Xenopus tropicalis: one gene and its partners. The protein of the gene in region 1 interacts with the protein of each later gene in a pairwise test. Links are inferred from orthologs where the notes say so. Each region holds a gene or a part of one and is shown in the gene's direction. Other genes may lie near its edges.

Region 1 (6,936 bases):
TATATATATGTTGAAAAATATTTTAAAAATAAAAATATTAAAAAAAAAGGTGGCCATATACGGCCGTTTCTAGCTGCCAATATCGTTCCTTTAGACCAATTCACCAGCTCATCTGCCTGTGTATGGGCACGAACGATGGGCCTGCCCGACCGATATCTGGCCTGAAATCAGCCAGATCTTGATCGAGCAGGTTTAATTTTTTCTGTTGTATCGGGACTGCATCGGCTCGTTTATGTAGTCCCTGAACCGATGGTGCCTTTGCGGGACATGGAACTATCCGGCACAGCGGGATGCGCTTGCTGTAGCCGGATGTTCTTGCTTCTTCTGCGGCTTCGTTATGCCTCTCCTTGTGCAGCGCGACAGGCCCTTTTATAAGGTTGCGCCTGTGGGTGTGACGTCATTACGCACGGGCACAACCTTATAAAAGGGCCTGTCGCGCTGCACAAGGAGAGGCATAACGAAGCCGCAGACGAAGGCTGCGCCTATGGGAGGTACTGTGAATGGGGGGCTACTGTGATAGGGGGACACTGTGTATTGGGGGGTACTGTGTATTAGGGGCTACTGTTTATAGGGGCACTGTTTATTGGGGGCTACTGTGTATTGGGGGCTACTGTGTATAGGGGGCTACTGTGTATAGGGGGCTACTCTGTATAGGGGGCAATGTATGGGGGCACTGTGTATGGGAGACTACTGTGTATTGGGGGGTACAGTGTATTGGGGGGTACAGTGTATTGGGGGGTACTGTGTATGGGGGGCTACTGTGTATGGGGGGGCTACTGTGTATGGGGGGCTACTGTGTATGGGGGTACTGTGTATGGGGGGGCAAAACTGGTACTTAGTTATAACTCACTTATAACTGACTGCCTTCTCTCTATACTTGTATTTTAATGTAGGAGTTGCTATATTGTTTTCCTTAGGTCGTTCAGTATGAGGGTATAGCACATTTTCGTCTGCGCCCGCCATTTGATCTATATAAAAGGGGTTATTTTTTTAAAAATGGGATGTGGTAATTGGGGCGTGGCCACAAAAGGGGGCGTGGTCAAAAATTGCCGTGCTGCGCGTGCCAAATCTTTTTGTCCCTCTTTTCATTTTTCAAATGTTGGGAGGTATGATATTATACTTCCTGACAATCTGATTAATACTATACAAACAAAGTAGTGAGAAACTGGGCAGTAGCAGTAATAGCAGGTAATATGACAAAGGAGAAAGTCAGAGACCTTCAGCGGGGCATGGAGCCCCTATTAGCTGGGCATGGAGCCCCTATTAGCGGGGCATGGAGCCCCTATTAGCGGGGCATGGAGCCCCTATTAGCTGGGCATGGAGCCCCTATTAGCTGGGCATGGAGCCCCTATTAGCTGGGCATGGAGCTCGTATTAGCTGGGCATGGAGCCCCTATTAGCTGGGCATGGAGCCCCTATTAGCTGGGCATGGAGCCCCTATTAGCGGGGCATGGAGCCCCTATTAGCGGGGCATGGAGCCCCTATTAGCTGGGCATGGAGCCCCTATTAGCGGGGCATGGAGCCCCTATTAGCTAGGCATGGAGCCCCTATTAGCTAGGCATGGAGCCCCTATTAGCGGGGCATGGAGCCCCTATTAGCTGGGCATGGAGCCCCTATTAGCGGGGCATGGAGCCCCTATTAGCGGGGCATGGAGCCCCTATTAGCTGGGAAAGCTCTCTCTGAAAATAAATATCTGCTATTGGCACAATTTTTTTTTTTTTTAAAAATGTATTTTCTTCTATTGCAAAAATTCTTACTTTGGCAAAAGGGACAGAGTTGGGGGGGGTGATTTTATTAAAATTGTGAAGCACTTCTTTAAACATACAGGCTAAGCGTAATACTAGTGCCAAAACGCGTCAGCCATCGTTCTAACAAGTGCCACAACCCACAACAGGATTTCGCTGCGGTATCAGCGGTAGATTTCATTGAAGCGTTCCGCAAGCTTTCCTTCATATTATATGCAACTGACCCTTGCATACTCCCTCGCTAACTGGAAAAGAACATTTACATTACAGGGTCCCACTAGTTACAAATTCATGTTTATTTAATTTTCTTTTCCCGCCACCTCCAACTCGTTTGCCAAACACCAGGCCAACCAGTGAAAGCTGAATCCCCTCCTTCCTCATCTTCATAACAGCGGGGGCTGTAGAATCCCATTGGCTAGCGTACACCATCGCCGCCTGTGATTGGACAGAGCTGCGCGGGAGAATGCACAGACGTTGTATTGAAAGAAGTGACTGTACCGGACACAGTCATTCCCGCGCTCTGCTCTCGCCTGGTACCGATATGAATTGCCTCAACGTACCCGAAATCATGCCAGGCTCGCCCAGCAAATCCCGGGGCCAGATCCAGGTAAGCCGGGCACAGCATTACATTTAGCCATGCAGTTTACTCTCCAGATGACTTGTCATGAAGTGAAGTGATTTGTAGTTCTAGGAGAAACTGGCTGAGCACTCTTGTTATATGACAGCTGCAAGGGAGTTTTTGTGTTGTATCTAGCCTAACACATCTTTATGAGAGGCCCCCTAAAGGGAACGTGTATTAATAGTGGGCTCAGGTGCATGTATAGATTATATTTGCCCTCAGTATTATACACCAAGGGCTGTGAGGCACAACACACTGCATCATGCAGCTCCCAGACATACATCTTGTATATAGACTTACATTTGGGTTAAGTATATATTTAAGTGCAACTGTACAGGGCAGGGACTTTGTTCCTTATTAGTGGGGTTATCATTTTTATATAAGTACCCAAGGGCATGTACCAAATGTGGCAGCCTTAGGGGTTGCACTCTGGTGCCTGGAAAGAACAAAACAAAATATATCCCTGCCCTTGAAGCTTATGGTGTGTGCCAAATAATTCTAGCAGTAAGTGGAAAGACTGCTAAGAATTCTGGTTTTTAGGGTAGTGGCACATATGGCATCATAGGGGCTGGGATTCAAAACAGAACCTGCTATTTCAAGCACACAGAGGCCTAAACAGCCAGGGACAGGCTCCAGAAATAGTGACTGTTTGTGGCATGTACCAAAATCTGCAGATTGGCAGTCTGAGCCTGATATTCAGGGTTATTTTCTAGGGGGGTTTATGGCACACAATGAATTCACTTTCTTTTGTATGTGAGCCCCATAAAGTGTTGGCAAAGACTATTCCCAGTGTCTTAGTACAGGGATCCCCAACCTTTTTTTGCTTGTGAGCCACACTCTGCTGTAAAAAGTGTTGGTGGGCCACACAGGCATGAAAAAGGTTTTTGGGGTTGCCAAATAAGGGCTGTGATTGGCTATTCGATAGCCCCATGTGGGCTGCTAGCCTGCAGGAGGCTCTGCTTGAAGTAAAACTGTGTCTCTGTGATTCCAAAACTTGCCTCCAAGCCAGACATTCAAAAATGAGCACCTGCTTTGAGACCACTGGGAGCAACATCCAAGGGGGTGGGGAGTGACATGTTGCTCAGGAGTCACTGGTTGGGGATCACTGTTGTAGTAGTTGGGATTGGGTATATATCATATGCATTCTTACAGAGTTTATCTATAAATAGAATACTAATGCTGGCAAAGGATGGAATGCAGAATTGTGTTTTGAACAAAGGTTTGACTGAATACACATTCTGTAGATAAAAGGTTCTACATTCCACAACATAGATTCTACATTCTGCCGCACTCACAGGTGGGGAGGAGAGCGGCGTTTATGCTGCTCCTTTGTTCTCCAGCCCCTAGGAAACAAGCAGTATTGTAAAAATCTGGTCTGTGTGCTAATTTTGAAGTAGTTGAAGAGACTGCCATGACTATTTTATTTATTATTTTCATTTTGGGGCCTTTACATTTCACGGTCTTTGGCGAACCTTTGTATGGATACAGGGCCAGAAGACCCGTCCTATTTATAGTGCCATACAATGGTACCTTTATCACATTTTGAAGATAAAATACAGAGAGGTTTGAGTTAGTTTTTACTAAAATTTATTAGAAATCCACTTTAGCAAAGCATTGCTACCACTGGAAATTATTTGGCCATGCAATTGTATGCTGATTTCTGCTGCACTGCTTTGAAAACCTGCTTATGTTTGGAATTTATGACCTGTACAAGTCAGAATTCTGGTATTGGCTCATTCGGGAGACATGGGGCCTTCCAGATCAGTGAAATATAAAATGCTTCTGATATATACTTCTGTATTGTATAGAAATTATTTTTATCATGTTACAGAAGTGGAGTTGCACAAAGACTCTGAGAATGTTAAGGTTGTCCTAACAAAGCAATGGGCAGTTTCAATATGTAAACTAAAAGACAAAATGCCCCAAAGAACACAAAATGCTCAAATTAGCTACATGGTTAATGATAAAAGATGTTAAAAAGTATACATGTCCATCAAATGAAAGTGTATATACCATGACTGCTATAGTTGGTTTGTGTGTTAATTTGTATTTCAAACCCATTTGTTTTTACTTTTAGGTGATATTTGGGCCAATGTTTTCTGGAAAAAGGTGAGTTCAAAGGACCGCGCAATTCTATATTCTCTCTCATGAGCTGTAATCTAGATGTTCCTTATTGAGAACAGTGTGTTGCTATGGCAATGGGGCACGCTACTTCCAATGGGCTAAAGTGCTTTGGAAGGAGGGCAGTAGGGGAATCAGTCTTGGTCTGCGTTGGGACAATTCTTCTTTTTTTTTTTTTTTTTTTTTTTTTTTTTTGAATGGATGGTGGTGCTGTTTGGTATTTGCTCACATTGCATCCATTTTTAGAGTGCTGCAGTATGTATTATAGTAAGCCTTTTTAAAAAAGTATGTTTATTGTCCTTTAACTGCTGTATGTCATCGCATGAGACTGCTTATTTTCCTATTCTGCTGAACAAATTTTCTGTATATTTTACAGCACAGAGCTGATGCGCAGAGTGCGACGGTTTCAGATTGCACAGTACAAGTGCATGCTTATAAAGTATGCGAAAGATACACGCTACAGCAAAGAGCATCTTGCTACACATGACCAGTAAGCAATTTTACACATTCTGTATTGTTAAGCTCATCTTATCTACATATAGAAATATCGCATATCATTGGTTGTGGTACATTTGTATTTACTGATTTTAAAAAGCATGCCCAAAAATCATATAGGACTGCACTGGGTAACATGGTAACAATTGTTATGGGCTATAATTGCCAGGACCTTCATGGTGTAGAGTATGGTTTATATGTTTTTGGCAAATAACACTTTTTGGGAATTCACAGAAGTGTAGTTACCTTAAAATATGAGTTAAAGTGGAGCAAAATTAATTTACCCCACAAAATCATCTAAATACAAATTAACAAAAGTAGACGGTACTGTTTTATTGATTAAAATGGAGTCGATGGAAGATGGCCTTCCCCTAATTTAAAGCTTTTTGGAGAAAGGGTTTCCAGCTAATGCATTCCATAACTGTACTACTTTTACAGAGGACTTCAGTGCTTCTTTGTTCCAAACCATGTAGAGTATTTTTACATTGCTGTGCCCATCCTTTTTAAAGCAACTGTTAAGTATAGAGATTGAGATGTTAATGCTTGTTTGTCCTTGCAGGAACACAATGGCAGCTGTATCTGCCTGCCAGTTGCGTGATGTTTCCGCTGAAGCTTTGGCCTGTTCTGTTATAGGAATAGATGAAGGACAGTTTGTGAGTATTTCCTGATTTAACTTTAAAGTTCGTTCTTCACCTGACTTCTGATGACCGATAATAAAACTTCTGTTCTCATTCAGTTCCCTGACATTGTAGATTTTTGTGAGGAAATGGCAAATCGTGGAAAGACTATGATTGTAGCAGCTCTGGATGGCACATTTCAGAGGAAGGTTAGTTGTAGTTACAAGTATAAGAATGCAATGTGTTGTGCTTTTTACATGGGTTTTAAGTGGCCCTTACCACCTTTTTGTGCACATTTTTAGGCATTTGGAAACATCTTGAATTTGGTGCCTTTGGCAGAAAGTGTTGTAAAACTCAACTCTGTTTGCATGGAGTGTTATCGGGAGGCTGCATACACCAAGCGGCTAGGGGCAGAAAAGGAGGTATGTAAATAGTCTTCTGGAGGTATTATTTATGTCCTTGTCTGCATGTGAGCTATTTGTGCATCAAAAAATGCCAGCTACGTTTTCTATAGACAGATAGCAAAATTATTGCAAATATTTTGCTTCACAGGTAAATCCAATAAATTGCATTATTTCTGTTATGTTATTGTACTTTAAATACAGGTAATGTGCAAATAATTTTTTCCTTGTACTTAATTTCATACACACAAATGGTGTGGCCATATTGCTTAATTTGGTTTAGATATATTCATAGGGGCATATTTATTATAGAGTATAAACCAACATCACCGGTGATGTTGCCCATAGCAACCAATCAAATCTTTGCTTTTATTTGCTAACTTGTAGGTGACCATCCAAATTGAATTGCTGATCGGTTGCTATAGGGAACATCGCCAGTAATGTTGCCTTACACACTGTAATATGCCCCTACTGTATATTCTCATGTTAATCTTCAATTGATGTGGGTTTTGTAATGGCCATTGAGGCAGGAGGTAAAAGAATTAATGTTAATTTTAATTAGGCCAAATTTCAGCTAGTGTCCTGTAGGTTATGAGCCTGCAGACCAGAAAGGGATTTAAAATGCAGGTCCCTATATAGGCATTTTCCACATTCATTCCTTCCTTCCCTCCCACTCTTAAATTATGTCCTTTACAGTTTCATTGTAACCTCATTTTTTTTATTCTATCACAGTGAGTGGGTGAAGCTGCGTAATTTCCTTTTGTTGCTATATGATAAAATGGCAGTTTTAGTTTGAGTCTTAAGTTGTATCCATTCTAAAAGCCCTCAGTAATCCTGATGCTGCCTCCTTTATTTGCCACAATAGTTTTGCATATTACGAGCTAAAAAGAAAAATATATATTAGGGGCCAGTGACATGTGGCAGTCGGGCAGATTTGGA
Region 2 (6,127 bases), on another chromosome or scaffold:
CCTTATTGGGGGCAGAACAGCCCTATTGGGTTTATTTAATGGTTAAATGATTCCCTTTTCTCTGTAATAATAAAACAGTACCTGTACTTGATCCCAACTAAGATATAATTACCCCTTATTGGGGGCAGAACAGCCCTATTGGGTTTATTTAATGGTTAAATGATTCCCTTTTCTCTGTAATAATAAAACAGTACCTGTACTTGATCCCAACTAAGATATAATTACCCCTTATTGGGGGCAGAACAGCCCTATTGGGTTTATTTAATGGTTAAATGATTCCCTTTTCTCTGTAATAATAAAACAGTACCTGTACTTGATCCCAACTAAGATATAATTACCCCTTATTGGGGGCAGAACAGCCCTATTGGGTTTATTTAATGGTTAAATGATTCCCTTTTCTCTGTAATAATAAAACAGTACCTGTACTTGATCCCAACTAAGATATAATTACCCCTTATTGGGGGCAGAACAGCCCTATTGGGTTTATTTAATGGTTAAATGATTCCCTTTTCTCTGTAATAATAAAACAGTACCTGTACTTGATCCCAACTAAGATATAAATAATCCTTATTGGGTGCAAAACAATCCTATTGGGTTTAATTAATGTTTTATTGATTTTTTAGTAGACTTAAGGTATGGAGATCCAAATGATGGAAAGATCCCTTATCCGGAATACCCTTGGTCCCGAGAATTCTGGATAACGGGTCATATACCTGTATATTCATTTAGATTTACATTACAGGGCAGCTCCGAAACCAGTGCAGTTAACATCAGAATGTAATAATCAGCCCTGCAGCATCAGCTTTTATGACAACCCTCTTTTTCTAAACTGACTCATCACTATATATAATTACAGAATATAATGACAGGCACTCTCGACAAACAAAAATCAAAGATGCCTGGGTGCAGTCCAAAAAACAGAGTACCGCACTCACAGGACTTATAAAAGTACAAAAAGATTTATTCAAAAGTTGTGTCTAACGTTTCGGCTACCACTGCAGCCTTTCTCAAAGACAGTATATATATATATATCTGCATGTGTTTAACAGTATTCAATATTTTTCCGCACAGTGGGGACCTGCAGGTTACGGGCAGCGGACACTGCTCTTACAGCACCGCCCAAAAAGCTATAGGAAAGGATAATTTTACTCTGATTCCAGAAGGAGTCAATGGAATCGAGGAACGGATGTCTATTGTGTGGGACAAAGCTGTGGTAAGTGTCAGGCTGAAGGTAGTTCATCAGATCCTCCCTCCTATGTAAAGTCCCTATAAAATAAACTTCTTCCATTTCTATAGGCTTGGAAAACAAACAAGGGGAAGTAAGGTGTAGATTATAAAAAAAAAAAAAAATACTTCGCAAAATTAATAAGAGCACTGTCAGCAATTTTACATTTCTTTGTTTTGAGGGGTTACCAGCCATGTCAGCACAACTACCTAGTTATCAGTTATCCACTTTCATTGGAAACACCTATTATATCTTTAATTTTTTTAGGCTACCGGTAAGATGGATGAGAACCAGTTTGTTGCGGTCACTAGTACAAATGCTGCCAAAATATTTAACCTGTACCCAAGAAAAGGCCGAATCGCAGTTGGTTCTGATGCTGATGTGGTTATTTGGGATCCGGACAAGATTAAGGCAGTCTCTGCAAAGACTCACAAATCTGTAAGTGAATAAACCTTTATTCAGATTAGGGTTCCTACACATAGAGCTGCATGAAGGAAAAACAACATGGTGCCCGGCCCATACACGTTGGTCAGGTTGGCAGACACGTAAAGCTTTGGCCAGTGGCCCATGTAGACCTTTTGCTCGTAGAAGACATTCATTGACCAATAGTGACCTGGATATGTCTGTACAGGTTAGATGTTCATAAAATATCTTATTTGTGACTCTCAGGCAGTAGAATACAACATCTTTGAAGGTATGGAGTGTCGTGGGGCTCCGCTGATGGTTATTAGCCAAGGAAAGATTGTCTATGAAGATGGAAACCTGCACGTTAACCAGGGCATGGGGCGCTTCATCCCTCGGAAACCATTCCCGGAATACATTTACCAGCGCATCAAAATCAGGAACAAGGTTCGTTCTTTATATACAGTCCCAAACTGGTGTGAAAGATGAAAGGGCTTTGGCTCTGTATGCAATGTATATATGTATTATACAGGTGAATTGTTGTCTATTGGATAACTGGCTTAATAATGAATGGGCCATGTCATTGGTTTGACAAATATAAAAGCAATATAAGGCACATGCACTCAGTGCCTCAGTGCAGCTTACAATCTAAGGTCCCTATCACATTCTAGGGTCAATTTAATCGGGAACTAATTAACCTGCCTGTATGGTAGTTGGAAGGAAAGCAAAGTACCCGTAGAAAACCCATACAGACACTCACTATACAGGCTATAGGAGTTGGCTAGGAAATTCCACTACTTTGTTCTGTCACTGATTTGCTTGAGGGGCTTTTTATTAGCATTGGGTAAATTTGCTGCAGTTCAGAAACCCATGGCAACTAAAGAGCTATTAACTACTGCACTTAATAAAAACTATTCTCCGATTGGTTGCTATGGATTGCTGGGGCATATTTGCCTAGTTTAAATTAATGACCACCGTAAAGCTGCTCATAAATGATAAGGTAACCAACCTTATGGCCAGCTGTACGGGGGGGGCAGATTAGGACCATGTGCAAACTCTTTGGTTAAAGGCTACGTGGTCATTACCTGAATGGATATATCAGGTAGCATAATTCATATCTGGCTAAAACTAGATTGTAGTTGGGGTGGTCAAATATACAGTCAAGAGTGGCCAAGTTGGCAGGCAAGCTGGACCAGGGTTCAGGGGGTCATTCACATAATAGCCATGTGCAAACCCTTTGGGTGAAAGCAAGGTGGTCCTCTCTTGAATGAATATATTGGATAGCCTAATTCAAATCTGGCTAAACCCAACCAGATTGTAGTTAGGGTGGCCAAATACATGGTTCAAGAGTGGCCAAGTTGGCAGGCAACCTGTGCCAATCTATGACCAACTTTTTCATAGGAAATTTGAGCCTCTGCCTATTCATGAAGATGTTCCCGTCAAGCAAAAACGAATTACTTTAGTGGTATAATCAATATACGGTGCATAAAACTTGTTTCTATGAAGGCTGTACCTAAAACATGCTGTTTTGATATAGTCTAAATGTGTTTTATATTATTTATCCCCTCCTTATTAAGAGGATATTGAATGAATTTGCCCATTTATCAGAAGAAATGTTTTTCTAGGTGGCAGGATTAGAACCTGTGTCACGTGGAATGTATGATGGGCCTGTATATGAAGTTCCAGCCCCTCCCAAGTATGCAACTCCAGCCCCATCGGCTAAATCCTCACCTTCCAAACCTCAGCCTCCTCCAGTCAGGAACCTTCACCAGTCCAACTTTAGTTTATCAGGTATGTGGATAATATGAGTCCTTTTTGTTGTGTGCTCAGCTGATAATTACATACCCAAACATCAGTCCGTTAGAAATGGAGGGGTCATCGGATAAACAGAAGGCCAATGAGAAGGGTTGCTGGTCATCAAAGATTGTATTTGTGTCTAACTCATCCTGTGTCTTCAAACATTTAAATGAATGACCCTACATTGTAGGTGCACAAAAAGACGACACTAACCCTCGCCGCACAGGGCATCGCATCGTTAATCCACCTGGTGGCCGCTCAAACATCACAAGCCTTGGTTGATGGATCTGCATCAAGAAAATGAAAGAATCTCACCGCTGGAACAATGTTCCTATCTGTGTCAGTGTTATTGAGCCCACACATTTTTGGTACTACTGAACATGGTCTGTTTTGTATAGAAAGGGATGGTCATTGTGTGGTTAAATGCTTGGAACTATTTTCTCTTTCCCACCCCCACCCTTACACTTGTGCATAGTCATCCCATCCCCTTGGGCATCAGTTCAGTCTCCAACACATTTCACCGAAATGGGTCGGCGACCCCTCTGACGCCCTTGACTGGTGAAAGCATGGAAATACCCATTGCTGTTGTAGAGTAGAGGCTTCCGCTTTGTCTTTGTGCCATACGATAGTCCATTTGCACCATTTAGATGTCTTTGGGTGAGCAGTGCATGGCCTTCTGTTATTCATTTACCCTCCGTAGGTCAGTGGTTGAGTTTCCATTGATGCCAACAAGCTGTCCTAGACATAATGCCAAGACCAAGATTGCCAGCGATAACTAAGAAATGTGAACAATTTTATGTATAATGTAGAATGCTAAATGTTTCATTTCCGTTAGCCTTTTGTACAACCCCACAGCTCACAGCAGCCTTCATGTGATCTCATTGTACAGCTTAGTGTATTCTCATCATTGTAAACCATTTCCAATAACAGACACATACACTTATTTTGGCCGCGCAAGCGACCAGCCTTGCGCGCGCAGTGTTTTGATACGGTCGGTATGGTTAGCTATCTGATTTTTACGTTTTTTTGTACAAAGTTTTCCTTTGTATTCACATGCATTTTTACTTACGGTTCCGTATGAAGTTCTAGATGTGACTCGATGAATGACTTCAACGCTTGTGAAATAAAGAACACAGAATAAGTTGCTTGGGCTCTTGTCTTCTATCAGGTTAATCTGGGCTAAATATTAGCAGGCCTGGACTGGGATTCAATATAGGCCCCGAGTGGCATTTTATGTACACAAAGGCCCAAACATGTAACTAATTAGCCTCCAAGATGCAGAACATTATCATCGTTTCCAGCACTGCATACATCCCTGCACTAGAACTCATACCCACATTGGCATAATAAAGACACTGCCCCAACCTTGCGCAAATAATGATGTGGCCCATGCTACTTTGAGCCACCAATCATTTTCACTTTGTAAATGAGCCCTTATTATATGTAAATGCATTCAGGCAATAAGTTAAACACTAAAGGATAAGTAAAGGTTTACTTAAGGTGCCCATACACGGGCCAATTCTAGCTGCCGATATTGGTCTCTTAGACCGTTTCGGCAGCTAATGGGCCCATGTATGGGCACTACAGACAGGCCTGCCCGACCGATATCTGGCCTGAAATCAGCCAGATCTCGATCGGGCAGGTTAAAAAATCAAGTTGGATCGGGGACCGCATTGGCTAGTTGATGTGGTCCCCGAACCGACATCTTATCTGGTTCCTCAGTTCTTCTTCTGGCAATATGTATTCCTGGCCCTCTCCTGCATCTCTATGTAGCCCCAATCCCATGATGATATTCAGGACAAGTTAGTCCCATATGCTGTTTCTCCTTTTGGGTTCCTACAAACACCTTTGTCTTCCCAAAGTCACCTCTAGATCAATCTGAAGGTCAGCTTCTCACCATAAAGGTCTCCCTTGCATAGAGAGGTTGTTCACCTTGTACTTAACATTTACTTAGTATAACATAGAACATCATTCTGATTTCCAATTGGTTTGTATTTTTTTATTTTAATTGTTTAGCTTTTTGTTCAGCCGCCCTCTAGGAATTTCAGCAGCGATCTGGTTGCTAGGGTCCAGTTTACCCTAACAACCAGGCAGTGGTTTAAACAAGTGATTGGAAGATGAATATACAAAGTGACAACATTGTAGCTTCACAGAGCAATAGTTTTTGGCTGCTGGGGTAAGTGACCTCCATCTGACAGTTGGAAAGAGGTAGAAGAAGACAAATAGTTCAATAGTAAAAAAAAAAAATATAAAAAGAAGACCAAGTAAAAAGTTGCTAAGAATAGGCCATTCCATAACATACTAAAACTTAACTGAAATGATAACAACCCGATTCATTTCCTTACTACGTTGCTGAATGTAATCTTGCCTTGAACATGGCTGTAGATGGAATTCTCTATAGAGGGATAACAAAGTTTTTCATAGATTGAGCAAATATACCAGAAACGGTTATTAGGTTTCCCCTTGTACTGCACAGAATTCAGCAGAAAATACAGTGGCCCAAAGAAACACAATACTGCACACACCACTGGCTGTTTCATTGGCAAGTAAGGGGAAAAAGATGCAATCACACACACAAATAACTGATGATTTTACTGGAATATAATATAAATAAAATATACAGACCAGTAAGGCCTATAGTGTACATAATACATTAAAAAGTATTATATTTCATCATCTTTACATGATACAGGATATAACAGC
Region 3 (6,290 bases), on another chromosome or scaffold:
TCTTCTATCTCATATTTGTCCTTTTGTATCGAGAATTCTGCTTTCTTCCCTCCCCAGTGCTTCCTCTTTTTCTATAATAACTATGTTTTGTTGTCCATTATTTTGTTCCTATTTTGGCTGTTGCTATGTTGCTTGATATTCCTTTCATCCATATACAGAAACAATAACTACTCCATAGAGATATTGCTGTGGGGGAAAACAGGAGTGAGGGGTCAAAATATTCATTTTTCAAACTGAAGCATTTAAAGAACCGTCTGTGCAACTCAACAAGTTGTCAATACAAGTCTTTGTGACAAATACTTATTTTTATAAATCTAATTAATTACATTTATGCACAAAGTTTTATGTAAATTACTGAAGGTAAAAAAAAAAAGTAAATTTTTGTGTTTTTTGTATGCTTACCCATTCACCCATTGGTGATTTTCTGGGTAGTGCTGGCCATACATTATAAGATCCATTCATTTGTGAAGTGGCCAATATCGGGCTGATCTGATCGTTTAGCCCTAAGGCCAAAAGATCAGATCACCACAATGGGAATAAAAGCTGTTGGCTCGCGTGAACAAGCCAATGTGGTCAGACAGGAAAATCAAATCAACACCTGCCCGATTTTCAGCCAGATATTGGTCAAGTAGGACTGTGGGAGGGCCCCATACTCTGGCAGATAAGCTGCCAACTAACAAATTGGTATCTTAAATCTGCCCTTGTATGGCCACCTTTACAGACACCAAATGAAGGCGGAATGCAATCATTAAAAGGAAGCAGCCGGTGCAATGTACAGGGAGGAATAGAAGTAATGGAACAAAGGGTTCATTATTTTTAATCCACGTGTTTCAATGAGTCATGTGACACAAAGGACATCACTAAGCACTGATTATAACTGATAACAGTCCCGAACACTATTTACGGGGATATATTTTCATAATAATGTTTTATATCAGAATTTAGCTGCAGTCTCCTGTTTCAGGAACCCTATATTTTTTTCCTGTCTTACCGTTTTATTGATTGAAGCTATTTTTTACTCCCATCCAGATTACCTGTGTACCCCTGAAGAAAACGTTTACAAAATAGACTTTACCAGATTTAAAATTCGTGACATGGAGTCTGGAACGGTGTTGTTTGAAATTACCAAGCCACCAGCATCAGGTATGTACAGAATTATGCTGATTCTAGCAAGGGATAGAATCTCCCAACACACAGACATGGGGAACCCTTACACAAATGTGAATATACACTTGTATTGTAAATGTATTTGTTTGCTCAGCCTTGGGAGGAAGCCTGTGGCAATAACACTCCCCACCCAGGAAGTGCTTTATCAGATTATTATACTGCGTGTCATGTATTTCATGTAAAGCTAAATCCATTATGATCGTAAAAATGGTTGTGTCTAGTCACGCAGTGCCGTTTAATGCCATTTAAACCAAACAATAAAATTTCATTACAATGCTGCTACTGCTATAGTATGCTATTTTCAAACCGGACTGGCTCCATGGAAAATATCCCATTCTGAAAAGAAGAAGTGATCACAGCTGGGTAGTTATTATTATTATTATTATTATTAACAATTATTTATAAAGCGCCAACATATTCCGCAGCGCTGTACAATAAGTGGGTTTCATACATTGGACATACAGAGTAACATATAAAGCAATCAATAACCAGTACAAGAGGTGAAGAGAGCCCTGCCCAAAAGAGCTTACAATCTACAAATGTAGCACCTTACTAGAATCAGAGCTTTTCAGAAATGTGTATTTTATATTATTATATATAATATATTATTTTGATATTTTATTTGGCAGTGGGCAGTAACCCATGGCAGCAAATAAGATGTTTGCTTTCAACCTGCAGCTGCCCAGTGTTTATAAATGAGCACCCAATATTTTCAACCCGCCTGGCACCCAGAATTTCCAGGCTGACACACTGCTGAGAAGGGAGTTCTACTCACAATGATCAGGATTGTAACTGTTGTAACACTTGACCTATAGGCTTAATTTGGGACTTTATGCAATGCAATGAAGTGAGTCATAAATCCTTGAATTAGAAGATACAGGGTTGTTACAGAAATAGTTTTCCATTGTAGTCATAGCAATCATTGCTAACTGATGGGTTTGGGTATATTACCGTTCCAAGAGGGACTTATGCACATATTCCTTGTCTGTTAAGTAGCAGGCTGGATTTGTTTTCCTTTTGTCTGAATGTACCATTGGATGTTTGTTGGGAACTTAAAGCTGGTCATATGCAGAAAGGTCCACTCGTTTGGTGAGGACTCTATACAAGTGGACCAATCTAAGCGCATATGCACTTCTCACCCTGATCATCATCTGGCTGCTTATTGTTTGGGCAGGCCTGTCTGAAGGCCCCGGGCACTGCTGATAAGCTGCCCACTCCGTGACCGTCAGCAGCTTTTATCTGCCCATGTAAGGCCACCTTAACCTGCTGTTGGGATATACTGATGGTGTTAAATAACCAGGCACAGATTGCTTTTACAGATTAACCAAACCCGCCAGAAAGCTGCGCTTCTAAAGCTGTGTTAAAGGGGTTGTTTAGCTTTATTTTAAAGGAACAGTAACACCAAAAAATGAAAGAGCTTTAAAGTAATGAAAATATAATGCACTGTTGCCCTGCACTGGTAAAATTGGTGTGTTTGCTACAGTAACCCTACTATAATTTATATAATAAGCTGCTGTGTAGCCCCGGGGGCAGCCATTCAAGCTGGAAAAAAGGAGAAAAGGCACAGGTTACATAGCAGATATGTTATGTAACATAACAGATAAGTTCTGTAGAATACAATAGTGTTTTATCTGTTATCTGCTATGTGCCTGTGCCTTTTCTCCTTTGAATGGCTGCCTCCATGGCTACACAGCAGCTTATTTATATAAATTATAGTAGACTTTCTGAAGTAAACACACAACTTTTACCAGTGCAGGGCAGCAGCACATTATATTTTAGTTACTTTTATACACTTTCATTTTTTGGTGTTACTGTTCCTTTAACTTTTACTATGATTTAGACAATGATTAGATATTCTGAGACAACTTGCAGTTGGTCTTCATTTTTTATAGTTTTTTTTGGTCATTTAGCTTTTGGTTAGCAATTTGGTATTTTAGCAGCCATCTGGTTGCCAGGATCTTATTTTCCCTAGCAACCAGGCAGTGGTTTGAATAAAACTAGAATAAGTACAGGTGATTGAATAGAAAGATAAGTAATAAAATTGTAGCTTTGCAGAGCAGTAGTTTTTTACCTGCAGTGACCACCCAATTGAAAGCTGGGTAGAGGTAGTAGAGAAAGGCAAATAACCCAAAAACCATTAAAGATAAATAATGAAGACCAGTTGCAAAGTTGCTAGGTATAGGACATTCTATAACAGTGATCCCCAAACAGTGGCTTGTGGGCAACATGTTGCTTACCAACCCCTTGGATCCTTGCAATGTTGTGGCAAGCTAAATTCCCTTATATAGCATTTCATTAGATAGCACATTTTATGTTTTAGAACGTGACCACGGCGATAAAAAGGATGCTGATCCTAATGCTGGCAGATTTGTCCGATACCAGTTCACTCCAGCTTTCCTGCGACTGCGCCAAGTAGGAGCAACGTAAGTGCCTAGAAAGATCACTCTTATAAGCAAATGCTTGCTCTTCTGCTATGAGAGAATTTGCAAGTAGGTTCAGGTAATGTAAATACAAACTATGTGCGATAGTTGTTTTCATTTCCTTTATGGCTTAACTAAGAACATGCAGTTCTGCACATGAAAATCAGTATATTAATCTAAGTATGAGGAGAGAATAAATAAAAATGGAACATTTATGCAATGGTTTGCATGTAAATTAGAGTTCAACTTTTATGGATAATATATTTCATTCTCCATAATGGCACTAGCTATGAAAATAGTGTTACATACAACAGACTCATATTGTGCTTAATGTGAAAGTCTGCCTGGGCCACATGAGGTTGGAGGCACCAACGAGTATTTTACTTCAACTGGTCCTGGGCCAGGCAGGGGTATAAGTATAGTGAGAGCATTGCATAACAACTCTGTCATTAAATGTACTTGCTCCTTCCTATAGTTGCTCTGGGCACCACTCCTTTCTGTCTTCTGTTTGGAATCGTGTGCCGCAGCACCTACTAACGCATGGGTACTCTGGAGCTACTGCCACCTCTGGACCAGGAGGTAGCTCCAGGGTTCCCCTCGTGCCCTCTGTCAATTGCCACAGCACAGTTGTGCTAAAGGAATAGGGCACACACGTCATGGCAAACACCAGAAATGATGCCCGAGAACACCAGATGACAGGCAGGCTTAGAAAATACTTGTCTCGGTTGCAACCCTTATGCAACAGACACAGTTGTGTCCATTATTACAAAAGAATGTAGTTGCATTGTGTATTATATGCTGTGTTACGAGATCCACTGGTTTTAGAAAAAGAACATTTGCATTGTGGCTCAAAACTGCACTTTACTCACTGCACTTGTTGACATAAATGAGCCCTTTTGTGTAGCAGCCTCTGACTGATCACAAAGTCTGCGTTACTGAAGCAAACATGTATCTTTTATATTTATGTATGTATATATTTTATTGCAGAGTTGAATTCACAGTTGGTGATAAGCCCATTAATAACTTCCGCATGATTGAACGGCATTATTTTCGTGAGCAGCTATTAAAAAGCTTCGATTTTGAATTTGGCTTCTGTATCCCCAGCAGTAAAAACACTTGCGAACATATCTATGAATTTCCACAGCTCTCTGAGGATCTAAGTAAGTTATTTCTCTACGTAAGTATTTAGAAATATATCTGTTCCTCTCTGTGGTTATATTTTATTTCATATAACAAATGCAGTCTGATTCTCCGTGAATCAGTGCAGATTTCAACTTCAAAATAGGCCCTGGCATTTCAAGTACACAGAGGCCCAAACAGCCCCCCACCAGCCCAATAAATAGTGACTGTCTATGGCATCTTACAGCAGCCCCTCTGGCATTTGCCAGAACCCACAGATTGCCAGAATTTGTGTAATTTTCCAACCTTCATAAGATGTCAACTGAGAACTCCATTCTCACTGTATTTTCATAAGCCTGAATAAATATTGAGGGAAAATGCCTGCCAGCTGTTTGGTTATTCTTTTAGGGTGAATAGGCAATAGAACTTGGCATGTAAGGCTGACATATCCACCATTTGTGTGCAAGCTTCTACCCTGAGACTGTAAGATAAAGAATTAGATGGCTTAAAGTACATTTTTGCCAAATAAATCTGTACTCATAATATTCTGTAACATTCTGGCAATGGAAGGTCCATTTTGTTTGAGATTGATGTTTAATAAATATTGCAAAATAAAAATCTTGTTTCCCCTTTTTTTTCTCATTCTATTTTGCAGTTCGCGAAATGATTCTGCACCCATATGAGACACAATCGGACAGTTTCTACTTTGTGGACAACAAACTTGTGATGCACAACAAGGCAGATTATTCATATAGCGGAGGTCCGTGATCCCCAAAAATAGCACGAGCGAGAAAGCATCAACAGCAGTCCCCTTTCCCCATAGCAGTTACGTAAGGGATAACACCCACTTTCCGTAGGCAAACAATCCAGGAAACAATATACTGTTTGCAAGTAGGAGATTTTTGGCTGTACCCCAGTCTTTGTAGCACATTCAGATAGTGCAAGAATCGTCAAACTGCAAAATCTGAGGCAGTGGACTTCATCAGCCCTTCCCAACATGAATGTGGGATAAGGATAAACCTAAATAAATACTTCTCTCTTGCTCCATATAAAGGGTTGTTCTCCTGGAACAAGGACTCTTGCATCTTATCTAAGTCTTCTTAGGACCAACCTTTCTCATATGACAGGCTTGTGAGTTCTTCATCAATATTCTTGCCTCTATCTAAGAGAAGAAAGGACAAAAAAATCATTCAGTAGTTTCTTTTTTTACTAAATGTCAGCTTGGGAAAAAAACATTGTTATCAAGGAAATCCAAGCCAAAGATTTAATCAGTTCTTCCTCTTTGGGCTTGCACTTGTTAGGATTCTTGTTATTCTCTAGGCATTAAGTATTGTTTGACATTTTCCCATTCATTTCTAATGAGATGGCTATTACACAAAAAACAAACACAAAATTGTGCATAGATCGTTAAGGATTAAGTGTTCCATCCATGATTGCAAATTACATTATTATTGAGTCCAGCCTAGTTACCTATGAGTCTGAAGCAATGAGGCCCATCCAAGGTAAAACCTGATCTGATATATTTGAAATAAGTTTTGTTTACGGTTACACTGTATTGTGCAGAAATAACAATATTAGCAATGT

What was found. The genes of interacting proteins can lie anywhere in the genome.
Region 2: the proteins of tk1 (region 1) and crmp1 interact in a two-hybrid assay, tested with the Homo sapiens proteins (2 studies listed by BioGRID and IntAct). The link is inferred for Xenopus tropicalis from reciprocal best matches to the Homo sapiens genes TK1 and CRMP1.
Region 3: the proteins of tk1 (region 1) and unc119 interact in a two-hybrid assay, tested with the Homo sapiens proteins (2 studies listed by BioGRID and IntAct). The link is inferred for Xenopus tropicalis from reciprocal best matches to the Homo sapiens genes TK1 and UNC119.

The regions. Positions count from the first base shown.
Region 1 is NC_030686.2:26,184,866-26,191,801, forward strand, and holds the start of tk1 (thymidine kinase, cytosolic), read left to right. Parts: upstream 1-2,267; 5' UTR 2,268-2,285; coding exon 2,286-2,351; intron 2,352-4,440; coding exon 4,441-4,472; intron 4,473-4,860; coding exon 4,861-4,974; intron 4,975-5,538; coding exon 5,539-5,632; intron 5,633-5,715; coding exon 5,716-5,805; intron 5,806-5,898; coding exon 5,899-6,018; intron 6,019-6,936. UniProt on the Homo sapiens protein: Cell-cycle-regulated enzyme of importance in nucleotide metabolism. Catalyzes the first enzymatic step in the salvage pathway converting thymidine into thymidine monophosphate.
Region 2 is NC_030677.2:25,659,482-25,665,608, forward strand, and holds the end of crmp1 (dihydropyrimidinase-related protein 1), read left to right. Parts: intron 1-1,071; coding exon 1,072-1,213; intron 1,214-1,492; coding exon 1,493-1,663; intron 1,664-1,894; coding exon 1,895-2,074; intron 2,075-3,252; coding exon 3,253-3,418; intron 3,419-3,614; coding exon 3,615-3,706; 3' UTR 3,707-4,568; downstream 4,569-6,127.
Region 3 is NC_030678.2:34,703,964-34,710,253, forward strand, and holds part of unc119 (protein unc-119 homolog A), read left to right. Parts: intron 1-1,029; coding exon 1,030-1,143; intron 1,144-3,487; coding exon 3,488-3,590; intron 3,591-4,574; coding exon 4,575-4,747; intron 4,748-5,361; coding exon 5,362-5,474; 3' UTR 5,475-6,290. UniProt on the Homo sapiens protein: Involved in synaptic functions in photoreceptor cells, the signal transduction in immune cells as a Src family kinase activator, endosome recycling, the uptake of bacteria and endocytosis, protein trafficking in sensory neurons and as lipid-binding chaperone with specificity for a diverse subset of myristoylated proteins.